Linked DNA regions of Zea mays. The protein of the gene in region 1 interacts with the protein of each later gene in a pairwise test. Links are inferred from orthologs where the notes say so. Each region holds a gene or a part of one and is shown in the gene's direction. Other genes may lie near its edges. The genes, in order: myb2 and BCAS2 protein.

What was found.
Region 2: the proteins of myb2 (region 1) and BCAS2 protein interact in binary tests that used the Arabidopsis thaliana proteins (3 or more experiments, as listed by UniProt). The link is inferred for Zea mays from reciprocal best matches to the Arabidopsis thaliana genes CDC5 and MOS4.

The regions. Positions count from the first base shown.
Region 1 is NC_050098.1:159,740,109-159,750,124, forward strand, and holds the start of myb2, read left to right. Parts: upstream 1-3,683; 5' UTR 3,684-3,858; coding exon 3,859-4,035; intron 4,036-6,712; coding exon 6,713-8,434; intron 8,435-9,385; coding exon 9,386-9,667; intron 9,668-10,016. UniProt on the Arabidopsis thaliana protein: Component of the MAC complex that probably regulates defense responses through transcriptional control and thereby is essential for plant innate immunity. Possesses a sequence specific DNA sequence 'CTCAGCG' binding activity.
Region 2 is NC_050098.1:40,102,223-40,110,274, reverse strand, and holds BCAS2 protein, read left to right. Parts: upstream 1-658; 5' UTR 659-807; coding exon 808-1,059; intron 1,060-2,349; coding exon 2,350-2,525; intron 2,526-3,246; coding exon 3,247-3,330; intron 3,331-3,438; coding exon of another isoform or gene 3,439-3,727; exon of another isoform or gene 3,728-3,822; intron 3,823-3,828; coding exon 3,829-3,898; intron 3,899-3,980; coding exon 3,981-4,114; intron 4,115-4,679; coding exon 4,680-4,728; 3' UTR 4,729-4,737; exon of another isoform or gene 4,738-4,827; 3' UTR 4,828-5,146; downstream 5,147-8,052. Other genes in the region: geranylgeranyl diphosphate reductase, chloroplastic-like, read left to right, coding at 5,625-6,962. UniProt on the Arabidopsis thaliana protein: Component of the MAC complex that probably regulates defense responses through transcriptional control and thereby is essential for plant innate immunity. Involved in mRNA splicing.

The DNA.
Region 1 (10,016 bases):
CGCTGCCGTAAGGGCCCCCGACGCAGTGCGGCTGGTGAAGTCAGCCACCTGCAGAACACACGTAAGGTCGTTGCGTAAAAAAAAAAGAAAAGAAAAAAAGAAAAAAATGTATAGCTCGGCGGACCTGACTCAGCGCCTCCGTCGCTCGACTCAGCGCCTCCGTCGCTCCCTTCAGCCGACGGGTCGCCACGCCCGCCTCGTCTCTGACCAGCGCGAGGGCAGACACCTCGCCTCCGGCGCCAAGGGTCTCTCCCCCCGCTTTCGGCGCTGGCGCAGCCGTCGCGATCGCCGCGCCAGGCACAACTAGAGCAAGCGGGCCCTCGTCCGACCCTGCAACGCGTCAACAATTAAAAAAAAAAGAAAAAAAAAGAGGTATATATATTCATATATACTTACCCCCAAGATAGTCGTCCACATCAATCTCGGTGCCGAAGTCGGCAACGCGCTTGCTAGGCAGCGGTAGCGATCGGGCCGCCTTCGCAGCCTCCGCCACCCCGCTGGCAGACGGCACCACCTTCGACAGCTTGGGGCCTCCGGCGCCCACCGTCGTCTCCGGCGCCTTGCCAGGCGCGGAGGCGCCCACCTTCGTCGGCAGCGGCGGCTTGCCTCCGCCAGAGGCCTCAGCCTTCGCCGTTCCCCGATGCCTTTTCGGCCGGGCTTCGTGAACCCTCACAGTCGCCTGGCGTTTTCGCGCCGCGCCTTGGCGATCCTTGTCCATCACTGCCCACACAACATGACCGATATTTCGCCCATAAGGAAAAACTTTCCACCGATGAACCATACGAGATGTAAAACAGTCCTCCTCAGCCGCGCAGGGGATAGGAATGTTTTTAGGCCAACAACCCCCGGTAACCCTCAGCATCCGAGCCGAAGACTCCCGGAGCTCGGGCGAAGACATCCTCTCCCCCGGGGCCGCACACGTCCTCATTAAATCTCTAGCGAAACTATCAGACACCCCAAGTCTTCCCATCGCAGTACCTAATTTTCTCTTTTTCGAGGAGGCGGCGGCCACCAGCGCAGGGTCGCCTCCAGTCTCCACCGCCGGCTTCTTCCCACGGCGGTCCGCTTCGTCTTGTCCAGGGTAACCGTCGTACGGCAGTTGATTTAATTCGAATACCCTGTTCAAGCGTTCATTTGACCCGCGGATGTCAAAGCTGCGCTGGCCTTCCGTCCTCGGCACGTAACGCCCCACGAGCCGCACCGTCAAGCCCTCCGCATCACGCACAAAGGCGGCCGGGTCACGGTTTCGCAAATTCAGTGCGAAGGCAGGGCTTCGCACCACCCTTCCTCCGTGAAAGGGCATCTGGCGAGGGCATACTTCGCCCAGCGCCCAGCCGTGCGCCAAGGGCCAGACCCCGTACGCCACGAACTCTTCAACTAAATCTCGACCGCTGCTCTGACCGGCGGCGCACCGAAGGGCCCCTTCGTCTGCATCCTCTTCTGCCACTTCATAAGGTGGATACGCAGAGTAATAGTGAGAGCACATTAAGGACACGGGGAGCCCTTCATGGCCTTCGACAGTAGCCTCAGCAACATAAAACCAAAATTCATTCCAATTGCCCCACTTGTTGCGGGCGCACGGGACCAACTCCACTACTGGCATTGTGGTCTTGCCGGTCTTCGGCGTGAATGTACATGACCCGAACTGGGCAATTCCGTCCTCAACCATCCTTTTCTGCCAATGCAAACAATAATTCTTCGCAAAAACTTCAACCGATGGCTGTCCGCCGTACGAAGTCGTCGCCCAGACATACTTCGCCAGCGCCACTATGGCGTTCGGTGTCAGCTGATGTATTTGAACGCTGAATCTACGCAGGACTTCGCTGACAAAACGGTGCGCCGGCAAGCGGAGTCCGGCGACGAAGAACGCCTCGAAAACAACCAACTCGCCCTCCGGCTCGGGGACTTCCTCCGTCCCCGGAGCACGGGCGACCCCGCCGCCAAAGTAGCCCAACCGCTGCATATCTTCAATGCGGGCTGACGTCATCCGTGACACACCAAATTCAACAGAGTCGCCGGCGCGCAACTCCTCCACCTCCACGTTACTCAACGTCTCCTCAGACGAGGCGGCGGCCGGCGACGCGGCGTCGGCGGAGGAAGAAGAGGATGGCATTGCTACGTACCGTCGTCGGCGGCGGGCGGTCTGCTTCACTCGAGCCAGAACGCCGGCGAGTTAAGGGAGCAGCGGAGGAAAAGGAGCAGCAAGACGACGGGCGGCTAGGGTTTTACGGAGCGCGGAAGGCAGAGTTCAAAAAGCGCCGCCCCCGCCCCCCTTTTATAGGCGGGGCGCGGCTCTTCGGGAAACCCGCAATCCGACAGGCCGCGACGCTTCGGGAAACCCGCAATCCAACAGTACGCCGTCCATCAACGGTCACATCAAAAACCCCCGCGGAACCACTTCGAGCGAGGGCAGCGTCTCCGCCATCTAGCGACGTCTTCGGCACCAGGTGACTTTGTCGAACTGGTCCCTCGGAGGGCAAATGTTGGGGCGAAGGCAAAGACGCCACCCTTCGCTCGAGGCCTTCGCTGCAGCCGCTGGTCCGACAGAGACAAAGCGGGCAGGGACACCCTTCGCAAGACTCGGCACGTTGACGAAGGCCTGCGGCGACGTCCTACCACGGCGCGTCCTCGTTCAGTCCCAAGGCCCACGTGCGATCTGGCCCATTGTAACGGGCCCCGCGTGGCCGCCTCTGTATTACGGGCCTGACTTGTAAAGGAGTACTTGTAATTACGGTCTGTAACCCTGCTTTATGGGAATATTCTGGGGATAAAATAGGTGTCTGAGGGCACATGCGTCCTTAACACAAGACGCTGGGCACTCAGATACCTATAAATACCCCCGCACAGTGCCCGTGAGGGGCTAGATCAACAGTGCTATTGCCCCCGTGCACGTAACCCTGTTGTCACCACCGTTCACTCTTGTTGGCCTTCTTGCTGCAGAGAGCAAGTTACAACAGGCGGCATCCGGCGGCGAGGTGTCGCTCGACCTCGACCTGGAGATGGAGGAGCTCGGCAGGACGACGCAGCTGCGCTCGCACCCGTCCTTCTCCAGCTCGCTCGAGAGGGACGACCGCGTGTCGTTGCAGGAACCCCATAAGAGTCACTCCACCTCCTCCTGTTCCTCCGATTCTGACACCGACGACGGCCGGAAGCGCCACGACGACGACGGTGAGGTTGTCCGGTGCACGTCTTCGTCTACCGCAGCGGGAACGAGGTCGTCTTGCAGTGGCTCGGCTTGTTCCTCACAGTCTCAGCAAAATCGATATCTACTGACGGACGACGACGGATTCGAAACGTAGGCGGCCTAATGATTCTCCTCAGCGGCTAATCAAGATTTTGAGTCTATTTCGTCGGATAGATGTCCTCTGTTTTTCCATATCCTCGAATCTCTCTCTCAACGCCTCCGTTTCGATGAAGCGGAATGTGTCGTATTTTATAATGACAAAAATCTCTCTAGGACTGGGCCTGCTCCTACTAAGACGGCCTTCGCTCTCTCGGGCCTGATGGGCTGTTCAGAGATGAACGAGCGCAAATGGAGCCCACTTCAGCTATCGTTCTTTGGGCCTTGAAACTGTCGACGATACCTGTCATCGTAAGCAACAGAACCCAAACCTCGCCGATTCGCTCCCCTTCCTCACCGCGCGCGTACGCCGCCGCCGCGCTCACCTCACCGAACCCTAAACCTGAGCCACCGCCCTCCCCCGGAGGTCCGCCGCTCCGTGTGGGACTCTAGGCGTCGCCGGAGCCCCCTCCAGGGGCTAGCGGCGGAGGAAGTCGGAAACCGATTACCCCTCCCCTCCCCTTACCGGGGGAGGGAGAAACTAGCGGAGGAGGCGAATCAGGTCAGAGTGGGGCACGATGAGGATCATGATCAAGGGAGGCGTGTGGAAGAACACGGAGGACGAGATCCTCAAGGCGGCCGTGATGAAGTACGGCAAGAACCAGTGGGCGCGCATCTCGTCGCTGCTCGTCCGCAAGTCCGCCAAGCAGTGCAAGGCCCGCTGGTATGAGTGGCTCGATCCGTCCATCAAGAAGGTAACCGACTGCTCGCCTCTCTTACGGTTCTGTCTTCCTCTCTCGGCAGACTAGCCTCACTGCCCGGTCGCCGTTCTATCACTGATTTTCGCTTTGCTTGGAGTGTCGTTCTCCTAAAGATCTAGCTGCCACGTTTAGAACACTGTCTTTTTCTTTTTCTGAATCCTTCTGCACTGGGAAGCATGCAATTCATAATGAGAGGGTAACTGTCACTGGATGGTTTCTTGTTCACTCAACAGTACAGATGTGGTTATTAAGGATTCTGGAGTGGCGAGTTCGTTTGAATTAAACTTTTAAGAAGCTCAGCACATTCTGCCGAGAAAGTGGAAAGCACTACAAGTCAATAAGTGATTTCCTTTCCTATGAAATCTTGCATGCTTAATGCATGACCTAATTCTTAGCAGTTTTGGTAACAATGTCCCCTGCATGCTAAAAGAGAAAAAAATGTTTGTCCTATGCATTTATGCATTGGAAGTTGGAACAACAGCAAGATTTATGCTCTATGAACTTTGATAGGTGTGCTGGTTATGAATTTTGGTAATATCAATCATTAGATGACTCTAAGTGTTATCAGCCGTTATCCTTTCACAAACATTCGAACTGGCAAACTTTAGAATCAGATAAAAGAATATCGTCTTTCAGCTTGAATATCTCGAGTTGCAAGTTGGCGGTAATACGAAATATTGACATCCTTACTTTAGTACTCCCTCCATCCCAAAATATAGTTCTTTCTAGCCTCCCATTTTTTCTGTCCACATTCATTCGAATGAATGTAGACAACTAGACATACATACAAACTACATTCATAGATTAATTCATTAATGTATGTTTAGTCTAAAACGAATTATATTTTGGGACAGTGGGAGTAGGTTATTGAATCTAATGCTTTCTGGAGCCAGATAATGAATTAATATCTTTTGCTTTTGTCTTGATAAGCATCCGTGTTTATATCGTTATATACATTATTATCTATTGATTCTGAAGGGCAGTCCTGGTGTAGTGGTGAGATATGTCTCACTGAGTCACCAGGTCGTTGGTTCGAAGCAGTTTCTTCGCATTGGGGCGGGGGGAGGCTTGCCTCGGTTGGGTCTGCCCTTCTTCTTATATCCTATGGATTCAACATCATCTAATAACATTTAATATTTCTACTAGCTAGATAACATACATTTCAACATAGATATTAACTGAATGAAAGTTTTTACAGTCTAGTGGTAACTAAATATAACTGGACTAAGCACCTGAATCATTTTTCTTGCCAAAAGAGAAACTTTGCACTGTTTAAGTAAAATTTGATAGTTTGGTTGCGCGAAATGTCTATAGCAGATGTTAACTTCTTCATAAAGTTGATTTTGAATGTAGAAGGTTTGGTCCACTGGGAAGTTACTTTATTTTATCTGAAATTCTGAATTATGTTGAAGGACAGCTCTTTTCACTGGACTTGGTTATTCAGAGTGGTGTACTTAACCAGGAACAACTAACCCTAGCTACTGTGTCGTGATCAGTTGCATGTCACTTTTACAGTTAGGTTCTCAGTTACTAAATAGGTTTATTAGCAACAGCAGTTTCATGCTGACTACCTGTTGTAATCTGTCTAAAATTTATCACACTGTGAAAATGCACCTAGGTAGCCTTTTAAGTTTGAATGAATAAGCTAAACTGGCTGATTCAACATTTCAACACTTAATTTGGTCAGGTGAGTTCGAATTTTACCTTATCTAGTCTTGATGTATTTAATTAGAAGAGCAGGGTGAAATATGAGCATTAGGTAATGGAACATTAACATGCTATAGTTATGAAAGGGTCTACTTATCTTGTTTTGGAGCTGGTTAGCTTCTGGAAAAATTTTAGTGTCTACAGATTTGTAGTTATTACTGTGTAAATGATTGGTTATTACTGGCTTCTAGCATGCAGCTTTTTTGGCAGATGTCAAATTTTTTAATTGACAATAGTTTCTTGGCAACCTAGAGCTATTGAACTTTTCACGCTTTAATATATTTATGAGATGAATGTCCGCTCTAAGTTTATCATTTGATAGTTTGTATGATGAATAAAATCAATACAAACTATGTTAGCATTTTCATCATTGTATTGATACAACTTGGAATGTTACTAGCCACTACAAATCATATTTAGAAGCAGTGCATTACTGATGTTTAGAAGAACTATTGTCTCTATTTTTTTTATTTCTTCCTGTCAATATTCAGAATTTGCTTCTTAAAAATAGAAGACAAAGCCGTCCAGTTTCCTCTTTGAATATTTGGTTGTGTCCAGAATGTTGCTATGGATCTGATTGGTCAAGCAATTAACGCCTTTTCTTCATTGATGGAATGTGGACCCATGTTGTTAAAAGTATAATGTAGTAATTAAATGTCTTTTGTTTGTTAACACAGGCTCTTAATCTAAATGAATGTGTGATACACTAGTACTTGTAATAAGGTGTTTGGTTACTGTACGGCGGGCACTATCATCTAATTTTTAACTTCAGTGAAGTTCTCTGAAATCACATCATCTGCAATGTTTTGACATGAATGGTTTAAAAAACCCATAACCTTCAAAATAGTTCTTTCATTGGTCATTTGCTCTATTATGGGCTTATGGCATAGGTCTTTCTTGTTTGTCACCAAGATGATTGTTTATTGTTTCTCTCACTGTGCTAACTCATCTATGTTAATTTCAGACCGAGTGGACAAGGGAGGAGGATGAGAAATTACTTCATCTTGCTAAACTCATGCCTACTCAGTGGAGGACAATTGCACCTATTGTAGGTCGAACACCATCTCAGTGTCTTGAACGTTATGAAAAGCTGCTTGACGCCGCATGTGCAAAGGATGAAAATTATGAGGCTAATGATGATCCTAGGAAGCTGCGGCCTGGCGAGATTGACCCAAACCCTGAGTCAAAGCCCGCACGTCCTGATCCTGTTGATATGGATGAAGATGAAAAAGAAATGCTTTCTGAGGCTAGGGCCCGCTTAGCTAACACTAGGGGTAAAAAGGCCAAACGGAAGGCAAGGGAGAAACAACTTGAAGAAGCAAGAAGGCTTGCTTCACTACAAAAAAGGAGAGAATTGAAGGCAGCTGGTATTGATACACGCCACAGAAAAAGAAAGAGAAAGGGGATTGACTACAATGCTGAGATTCCATTTGAAAAGAGACCACCTTCAGGTTTTTATGATACTGTTGGTGAAGACAGACCACCTGAACATGTACAGTTTCCAACAACCATTGAGGAGCTTGAAGGGAAGAGAAGAGCAGATATAGAGGCACAATTAAGAAAACAGGATATTGCCAGGAACAAGATCCTGCAGCGACAGGATGCCCCTGCTGCTATAATGCAAGCGAATAAACTAAATGATCCAGAAGCTGTCACAAAGAGGTCAAAGCTAATGCTGCCGCCTCCTCAAATTTCTGACCACGAGCTAGAGGAGATAGCAAAGATGGGCAGTGCTGGTGATCCTGCTTTAGCTGATGAGCTTGGTGAAGGAAGCACTGCCACAAGAACCTTGCTTGCCAGCTATTCTCAGACTCCAAGGCTTGGTATGACACCATTGCGAACTCCGCAGCGAACTCCAGCTGGGAAGGGTGATGCAATCATGATGGAGGCAGAAAATCTTGCACGTCTCAGAGAATCACAAACACCTCTATTAGGAGGTGATAACCCAGAGCTTCATCCATCAGATTTCTCTGGTGTTACACCACGCAAGAAGGAGATACAGACTCCAAATCCAATGGCAACACCTTTAGCAAGCCCTGGCCCTGGTATTACTCCAAGGATTAGTATGACACCATCCAGAGAGGGGCACAGCTTTGGTTTAACACCGAAAGCAACTCCTCTTCGTGATGAACTTAACATAAATGAAGTGGAAATGCAGGACAACACTAAACTTGAGCTTCGTAGGCAAGCCGAACTGAGGAAAAGCCTGCGATCTGGTTTTGCTTCTATTCCACAACCAAAGAATGAGTACCAGATAGTCATGCCACCTATTACGGAAGATGAGAAAGAAGAAGCTGAAGAGAAAATTGAAGAGGACATGTCAGACAGACTGGCACGAGAAAGGGCTGAGGAACAAGCTAGGCATGAGGCATTGCTCAGAAAGAGATCCAAAGTGTTGCAGAGGAGTCTGCCTAGGCCACCGGCTGTTTCAGTAGAGATTATCCGGCAATCTCTTATTAGAAGTGGAGAAAGCAGAAGCAGAAGCACCTTTATGCCTCCTACATCACTTGAACAAGCTGATGAACTAATAAATGAGGAACTCCTTAGGCTTCTTGAGCATGATAATGCAAAATATCCTCTTGATGAAAAAACTCAAAAAGAGAAAAAGAAAGGAAGCAAGCGTCAGCAAAATGGAGGACCTCTTGTCCCTGAAATTGATGATTTTGATGAAGATGAACTAAAAGAGGTGCTATTCTTTTTCTTCATCCTCTTTATTTGTATTAGAATATTCATGATGAACTGTATCTCTTTCCTGATAGTTTCGTCATTATTTAATTAGACCCCACCACATGCACAGTTTCATGGAACTATTTGGATAAACTGTAACTTGAGAGGCTATGCGCACATCTTCCTGTATCTCAATGACATGACACTGTTCATTATTTGCAGTACTTAATTACAAATTACATTGAGTTAATTGAACTGAGGTCAACTGGCATTTTGATTTAATAGCAAATACATAGATTTACATGAGTAATATCCTGTAAGGCAGAGGTCATAGTTAAAATAAATTATTGAAATTTCTGGTACACAAAATTTGAACATATTTTCCCTGATTGACTGTCATTTTTAGGTTGCAGCTGTAGGCTGTAGTTGCATGCTAGTCGTTATAGAAGCAGTACTGCAGTAGAATTCTATTTGCTGTTTCCACAGCTGCAGTTGCAAAAATCTGCAGCAAGAGCAAGCACAGCCATTCTTTAAGACATGAGTTTGACAATTAGAATCTTCTCTTCAAGTGCAGATGATTAGAATTGTCGATGTGTGACAACTGTCATTTTTATGGGATTCAACTTTGCACCTAGAATCCTCTGTTTATGCACTATAATGTTGTCAACAAGTTTGAGCTTTGCATTATAATCTTCATGAAACTCCTACAACATACATACATGTATCTGCGTTGAAATTAATTCCAATAACTAAACCGGGCATTTGAATGGCTAAAAGAACTACATACAGCACAATACAATAATACATAATCTACAAGCATGGTAGTTATCAAACCATTTATAGTGTGTGACTTCATAGTTCATATGCTTCTTCATTTTTTTTCTTTTATTCTGTGAGCAGTCCTCTATGCTTATTGCAGTTATGTAATGATGGAATAAGTTGTACAAATGGTCTTTTTTCGAATTGGCAGGCTAGCTCTATGGTTGAAGAGGAGATTCAATACCTTCGAGTGGCCATGGGTCATGAAAATGAATCTTTTGAGGACTTCGTGAAAGCACATGATGCATGCCAAGACGACCTTATGTTTTTTCCTACCAGCAATAGCTATGGTTTAGCTAGTGTGGCTGGAAATGCTGATAAGATTTCTGCTTTGCAAAATGAGTTTGAAACTGTGAAGAAGCGAATGGATGATGAAGCTAAGAAGGCTTCTCGGCTTGAGCAGAAGATTAAGCTTCTGACACAAGGATATCAGGTAAACTTGGCATAGTGCATCATCTGCAATCAAGATCATTTATATTAACTGAATTTAAGCAATATGTCATATTGCATGGCTTCTTTCGAGTTCTCTTTATTTGGTTTCTGTATTCTTTCTCTTTCATCTGCCCCGTTTTTTGGAGTATAATGAAATAATAGACTCTGTTGAAGCCAGTCTGAAAAACTGATGATAGTCACTGGGCTGCTGCCAGGGGGTGGACCCACTGGGTATGCTACATGGGCCACGTCATACCGTGCGGGGCAAGTGTGGATTTACTTAATACTAGCAATAATATAGATAAATAATCTTACAATTGCATTTACTAGTCGTCTATGATAATAACTTA
Region 2 (8,052 bases), about 120 Mb from region 1:
ATGAGTCTAGACATCCCTTATATTTATGAAGGTATACGATCGATTGTAGACACTAACAATCGAATCAAATCAATATATCTTCCGTTCCTTTACTTTTTGCCCTAGAAGTAGCCAGTAACGTAGTCTTATTTATCTCAATCCTCACATCTCTTTGACTCTACGTCATCTGAAGGCATCTTAGGTGGCCTGCCGACCCCAAGATAAACCCTAGTATCAGTCCTCTCTGACGGGTCCCTCCCAGTAGGCGAGGTCTAGGTGCTGTTAGCGAACGCCACGCTCCTGCGCACACGTGGATCGTCCGACTCGATGCAGCGAAACCTGCTCCTGCCGTCAGGTCGTGGACCGTCCGCACCGCCGCAGAGAGTCAAGCGAAACAAATCCCATTGATTAGCACTCAGATCTGTGCCAACAATTATATAATCAATGAGTTGAAACAAACCTGAAGTAAGTTAATGGATAGGTTTCAGTTTTAACGACAAATATACAATGGAGATATCAGATAGAAACGATGTGATGCATGGATATCTCGTTTCTAGCTTTCAACAAAAAAAGAATGTTCATTCACACCAGTTCAATGGTTCAATAGAGTGCTGACGGGTTCTCTCCCTAGAGAGAAAAAAAAAACAGTAGACACGGGCCTTTCGAACCGTGCTCAATCCAAAACGCCAAACGGCCCACGTGCGCCGCGTTTCCTCCATCTCCATCCGGCCATCCCACCTCCGCTTCCTCCTCCGCGCCGGCCTACGCGACTGCTTCCCTCTCTCTCTCGAGTCTCGACTCTCGACTGCGCCGCTACAGCCTGACGCGATGGCCTCGTCGGCGACGAGAGAGGTTCTCATGCTTGAGGCGCCTCCGCCGTCCGACCCCGCTGCGGGGCCCTGGCGCGCGGTGCCGGACGCGGAGGCCATTGACGCGCTGCCCTACATCGACGGCGACTACGGCGATGCGGCGGTGAAGCGGGAGGTCGATCGCCTCGTCGAGGAGGAGATGCGCCGAGGGAAGCGCAAGCCTGCAGACTTCCTCCGGGACCTGCCCCCTGTTCCCACCGCCGGATTCGAGGTACAGTTGCAGAGATTTCTTAGCCCCAAAGGTATATTGGGGAGTAGCTCGAACCCATTACGTTTTCTCCGCGGATGTTAGGGGCTTAGCATAAGGTTGCAGCTTCGTCGATGTTAGCAGGTGCGATCTGCGTTTAGGGTTCAAAGGAGGGTCGTGCGGGAGCTAGGGTTTGCAGTTGTAGAGGTCACAGTGAACCAAGTTAGCTGGATGGATTATAAATATATGTTTTCGTTATTTAGATTTTGTGGAGCTCTAAGGCTGAATCCAACCATTCCCCCTCTCAAATCCCCCTATTCACATTCTCTATTCATATTTAAATACCTCCCTCTTCCCTCTATTAAATTGGTTGGAGACCGCCTAAGTAAATTAACTTGGTTGGGTCAATGTATCTCTGCATTGTTTAGACTTTATAACTAATTAACTATTGCATATGAAATTGAAGTTTTAGTTGACAACCCCTTTACATTTTACCTGCGAACCATTTAGGGGGTGTTTGGTTTCTAGGGACTAATTTTTAGTCCCTACATTTTATTCCACTTTAGTTACAAAATTATCAAATATAGAAACTAAAACTCTATTTTAGTTTCTATATTTGTCAATTTATATACTAAAATGGAACAAAATGAAGGGACTAAACATTAGTCCCTAGAAACCAAACACCCCCTTAATTGGGTTGTATAATAGGTATAACATCTAACAGTCACAGTTTTGTGATCCGTTTCTGTAACAGTGCATGTTAAGCTGGGGCATCATGCTCTTGTAGTCTGTCTTTTGTTACAGTACTTTAGATGGACATCCTGCACAGATCAAGGATTTTTGTGCTAGATGTTTACTTCGGGCTCAGATAAAGGAATAATGCTCAGAAAAGGACCTGCTTATGCTTTTATTAGTTCGATGGATTGATTGATGTTTACTTCTGATGGATTTGAGGTTACACCTCATCTGGTCATGACACTGAGGTCTGAGGATCAAGCATTGACCATTTATGATGAAGTATGCATCTCTAATTGAAATTCAATATTGAAACATGACTTGGAAGTTTTTAACAGAATATTCTGTACTATTTAGTGAGCACTGTTATTAAACTTGGACCTTGTGAAGCTACTATCTTCTTTTTCATGTATTTCAATTCCATAGTCCATAGATATCTTAGATATACTTGATTTTTAACTATTGTGTCATATCAAAACCGGAACCTTGATCTGAATCAAGAAATCCGCAGGTTTTGACTGTTTGAAAATCTATGTGTGGTGTAATTAACGTAAAGTATGCTATCATTTTTTGTTTCAGAATCATCCTATGCTTTCTAAAGAATATGAACGTGTTAGGGCTGGCAAACCTCCTTTTATGCTAGATATGTCTCGCTATGGTTTGGAGCCACCTCCAATGAACAAGAGGAATGATGTTGGCGCTTGGAGGCAGGCTCTACGGAATGCTCAGAGCCAGTTGCAGCATCAAATTATAAGGTAAGTCAAGGTATTATTTTTGGTGCATCAGGGGTTATGTATTCACATTCTATAACATAGATGCCTATTTGCAGAACTGTGTGTCTATGTAGAAACTAAGTAAAGCATTTTTGTGACAGCTACAAGTTTATAGCTTGTATAATAATGAATATGGCTTGCACTGTTGTTTAGCGTGATGTGAAAAAAATCTTAACTCTAACGTATGTACTGATAAGCTGCCATAACCATTCCTGACATGCCATAGTCAGAATAGTGCCCTTGTTTCTCCACAAATGCATAAAATCTGCTGCATGCTGAGTTAATGAACTTTTTCTCTGCGTAGTTGCATTTTCTACCCCATTTAATATAAAGGTCACAAGTTCACGATGCCTATATTTTTATTACTCTCTTCAATGATTTCTGTAGGGCAATTTTGAATTTGACCATTCATTTCTGTAATTTATATGTTTTGATAAGTGATAACTATGAAATGACAGCCATAATATTATAATCTAACAGTACATTATTTTTGTCATTAAACCTGCATGTTATTTTTAGTAAATGTATTCAAATTTCAAATCTTGAAACTTTCATGCCTCATAAAAGTGATGAATAAAAGGAAAAGCCATTACTGTTACTCTATTGCTGGACAAACCTTTATCTGTTTTTCTGTTTATGATAAATAGAAATTTATTGGTGCCTTATTTTGAAAATATGTTTTGAAACAGTGCTAGTATTGCAGGATAGAGAATCTCGAGCTTATGCTGAAATATGGCGTAGATGTTTGGAAGCTCCAGAACAGACAAATGGAATCAGTTCTGTCTAGGTAAGTTAATGTCTATGTGGTCCTTGACAATGTCGTGTCTCTTCTTTCTTGCCTTCCATTTAGAACACGGCCTGTTTGGTGCCATGCTGGCTATGGCTCCATTGGCAGCTTCGGCGTCGGAGGCTGGAGCCGGAGTTGCACCAAACAGCCAGGAGAGGAGAAACGCTTCTGCACCTGTGGAAGAGGAACTGGGGCTGTTTTACATGTATGGATGCGAAGCTGGTTTCCGGGGCTCCCGCTCCGGCAACAGAGTGCCTGCGGAGGAACCGCACTAAATGTGCCCTTAGTTTGGTTTACGGATTGCACTATCAGTTATTGGGAAGCGACAAAAAATGATGTATCTAAATCATATTTTGTTGATCTTATGTGTGATATGTCAGTGATAGTGCGAGCTTAGATGTCCACTGAAGCACTCTACATGTTTTATAGGTTTAAAATATTACCAATCAGTGTCACACTTATATGGATTTGAGACATGATCTGCCATCTTATATGCAGGATGCAAAAGATGGCTGTAGAATACAATGAAAGGATAGAAAATGTCAATCGCGAGAGGAAGTTCCACCAGGTTATAAGCATTGATCTCTTTATTTGGAAGTTTGAGTCATGATAATATTTCATTGTCAGCTCATAATTTGTTTTTTAATCAGCAAAATACTGGAGGACAGCTGCATGCCCTGAAAATGGAATGGCAGGAGCTGTGTCAAAAAAATATAGCTATTCAGGCTGCTTGTGTTGACCTGCAGAATCATATTGATCAGCTTAAACTTGAAGCAAAAGAACTGTACGTGTACTCTCTTCTTCCCCCCTCCCTCTCCCTAGGCCTGTTCATAGTCTGGTTACAACCCAGCCCAACCCAGGAAGACCATAGCAAACCGCACATAGAGGCAATGTACATGCTGGTTTGCATCGTGTCCAAACCACTTAACCCGTGGGTTCATCTTCTTCCTGCTGTCGGTGCACCTTCCTATCTTATTGAAGTTGCTGATACCGGTCCTGCCAATTGAGTAAAGAAACTGCAGCCGCTACCTTGACAATCCTGCCTTCCCATCTCATCTGTGCTGCCTCTTCGTGCCGTCCGGGTCCGGCGTCCATGACTGGCTGCCGCTGATCATCTACTTCCACGGAGGCGGATATGTCCTCTTCCGTGTGGCCTACGATCTGTTGTACGACACCTGCATGGCGCTCACTGCCACCACCTTGGCTGTTGTCGTATCTGTGGGTACCAAACCGGAGGAGAATAGCTACGGCCTACGGGTTGGGGCGGGTTTACCCAGAAAATGTTTTAACCAGATCAGGCCGACCTTTCCATCTATACATATGAATCGTGATAGAATACTTGTTAACAGGGGAATGCCCATGGACGACAACTCAGGAACCGACCCACAAGCATCATGAGGATTTGAGGTACATTATGTGCCGTCCAGTTAAGTTGAGACGCCACGAGACAGCCATTGTTTCCGTTATGTTTACAAAATTATGCTGTTGCTACTACAGATACAGAGGTGGCAAGGAAGAAGCTACGCTTCATTTGAGTCTGGCAGCTGGACGTTTCATTAGCCATTGTGATTACCTGTCCTGCAATTGTCATATGGGACAGTCTGTTTGATATTGAAAACAATGTGGACTGTGCCTAGCAATCCCATGACCTGTGCTCCTGAAAACACCTCGCAGAGGAAGAATCTAAATTCGTGTATTGTTGTCCGTTGAAGTGCCCTAACTTGTGGCAAGAGAAATGCAGCTGATGTATGCAGACTCTCCAGTTGACATTGAGTTCTTACATGAAGCTTTTCTGTTTGATTTTCTGCTTGTTTCTGAAAATACCTTGTGCTTTGCCCTCTTCTGAACACGCTTACAAGTGTTTGCAGACAGTGCATTTCAAAAACCCGGGTTTTTTTTAAATCTGTATGTTTGAAAGCACTTGATGTGTCCATTTTAGATCCAACGGTAAACAAGTGACACTTCGAAATCGTACCTGGACGGCTCGTCCCCCGTTTCCGAGTTCCAAGTAGAGGACGTAGAGGTGGTAATGAATTAAGATCCAAATGTTTCTTAATAAAATGATAGTGCCTTAAATAAATTGTAGTTAAAAAATAAATAAAAATAAGACTTGATTTTAATTAGATCCTTAAATTTTATTGTAAAATTTAGATCATATTGTTACCCATATTCCAACTGTCACACTGCCACTGCAGAGCCACCACACCGCGCCTGCAGCTAGACTCCAAGAAGGAAATCTCCAGCGTCCAGCCCATAGTGAATCTCCCGGAGTCGCCCAAACCACAGCGACAACCATGGCCGCCGCCGCCTGCTATTCGCCAGCGCGCATCATCATCTCCTGCTCAGCCACCACCACCTCCTCATCGTCGTCAGCGCGCACGCTGCGCGTCGCCGTAGTGGGGGGTGGCCCCGCGGGCGCGTCGGCTGCCGAGGCGCTGGCCTCGGCGGGGGCCCGGACGTTCCTCCTCGAGCGCAGCCCCGCGGGCGCCAAGCCCTGCGGCGGTGCCATCCCACTCTGTATGCTGGACGAGTTCGCCATCCCGCGGGACCTCGTTGACCGCCGCGTCACCCGGATGCGCGTGCTCTCCCCCTCCAACCTCGCAGCCGACTTCTCCCGCGCGCTGCCCCCCGGGGCGCACATCCCCATGCTCCGCCGCGAGGTGCTCGACTCCTTCCTCCGCCGCCGCGCCGTCGAGGCCGGGGCCGAGCTCGTCCCGGGCCTCGTCACCTCGCTCTCGCTCCCCGCGGGGCCCGCCGACCCCTACCTCGTCCACTACATCTCGTCCTCCCCGGAGGGCGTGGGAGCGGGACGGAGCGTGCTGGAGGTGGACGCCATCGTCGGCGCGGACGGCGCCAACAGCCGCGTGGCGCGCGAGGTCGGGGCCGGGGACTACACGACGGCCATCGCGTTCCAGGAGCGCATCCGCCTCCCCGACGCCGGCATGGCGTACTACGACGACCTCGCCGAGATGTACGTGGGCGGGGACGTGTCCCCGGACTTCTACGGCTGGGTGTTCCCCAAGTGCGACCACGTGGCCGTCGGGACCGGCACCGTCGCCGCCAAGCCGGAGATCAAGCGCCTCCAGTCCGGCATCCGGGCGCGCGCGGGCCCCAAGATCGCCGGCGGCCGCGTAGTCAAGGTGGAGGCCCACCCGATCCCAGAGCACCCGCGCCCGCGCCGCGTCGTGGGGCGCGTGGCCCTAGTCGGCGACGCGGCGGGGTACGTCACGCGGTGCTCCGGCGAGGGCATCTACTTCGCGGCAAAGTCGGGGCGGCTGTGCGGGCAGGCCATGGCGGAGGAGTGGGCGCGCACGGGCTCCGTGACGGAGGCCGGGCTGAGGCGCGGCTACCTGCGGCGTTGGGACGACGAGTTCCTGCTCATGTTCCGGTTCCTGGACCTGCTGCAGCGCGTGTTCTACGGCGGGAATGCCGGCCGCGAGGCGCTGGTGGAGATGTGCTCCGACGACTACGTGCAGCGGCGGACGTTCGAAAGCTACCTGTACAAGCGGATGGTGCCTGGCGAGCCGTGGGGCGACCTCCGGCTGCTGTGGCGGACGGTGGCCAGCATGGTGCGCTGCGGCGTCATCGGCAGGGAGGTGGAGCGCCTGCGACGGCTGGAGCTGCAAGGCTAGATAGGAGCTTTGCTGAATAATAATAATGTAAGATGTGGCCGATTGACGTTGTCATCGTTTTCTCAATGCATTTTATACCCTTCCTTTGAAATTTGGTAAAGATCTTAAAACTTTGCCATGAATAAGCTGTGGTTAGGAACCGGATACATATCGAACTATACCCACAATGCGAATGTCAAGTGATAACCTTATCGTACAGCACAATTGCGATGCATTAAAATGAACTGAATTGCTCAGTAAACGATCTACCAGCGCTAATGGCCAATTACAGTGTCTTAACATCGGAACATGTATTGAGAGTAATCACGCAACATAAGTACAAAACAAAACCAGCTCTCTGAAAAGCCTACCAAAGAAATACAACACTTAAACATTCCAATGAAACAACAATCATCAAAATGACCATGGCTCCGTTTCTGCGGAAAATGCCTCACCATGTGCTCCGTGAAACCGCAGAAATATCCAATCAGGCCTGTGTTCATTGGTATGTCAGTGTGCCGCATGAGTACATGACAGTCTTGGTAATGCTAAGCAGCGAAAAAGGTCCGACTTATTTCAAAGATCATGGGAATGCTGATTAAACTACAATAATTTTGCAAACGAGTGTGTGGAGTTTGGTAATCAATACCTTGTTTGCAATGTTGTTCGAGAGCCAGTCAAGACCCTCGTACAAACCTATCTCCTGTGGTAGCACATGTGCTCTGGATATACCTACAAGTCACAGAGAAATCACATTAAAAGTTTTTAATGTCGGTAAAAATTATCAAACTATCAAGTTACCGTGCAATCAAACTATCGAGTCATGAAAAACTCTCGCGGGGGCATTTGGATACCTTCGTTTTAGGGAAATTAGAATTCACTTAATAAAGTAACCTATTTAGCTTTGAGTTTGACATTTCATCACTTTCCAAAGTTCAGATATAAGTCTATCTCAAATTCATGAGTGGGGCATGGGAAATGATTTTATGTATTACTAGAATTTGTTTTTACTCTGTAACTTACATGACGCTCTTCGGTTCACTTCTTTATAATAAAAATGGAGCACATAAATATCTCCGATATCTTACTAATAATAGTATACAAATATATT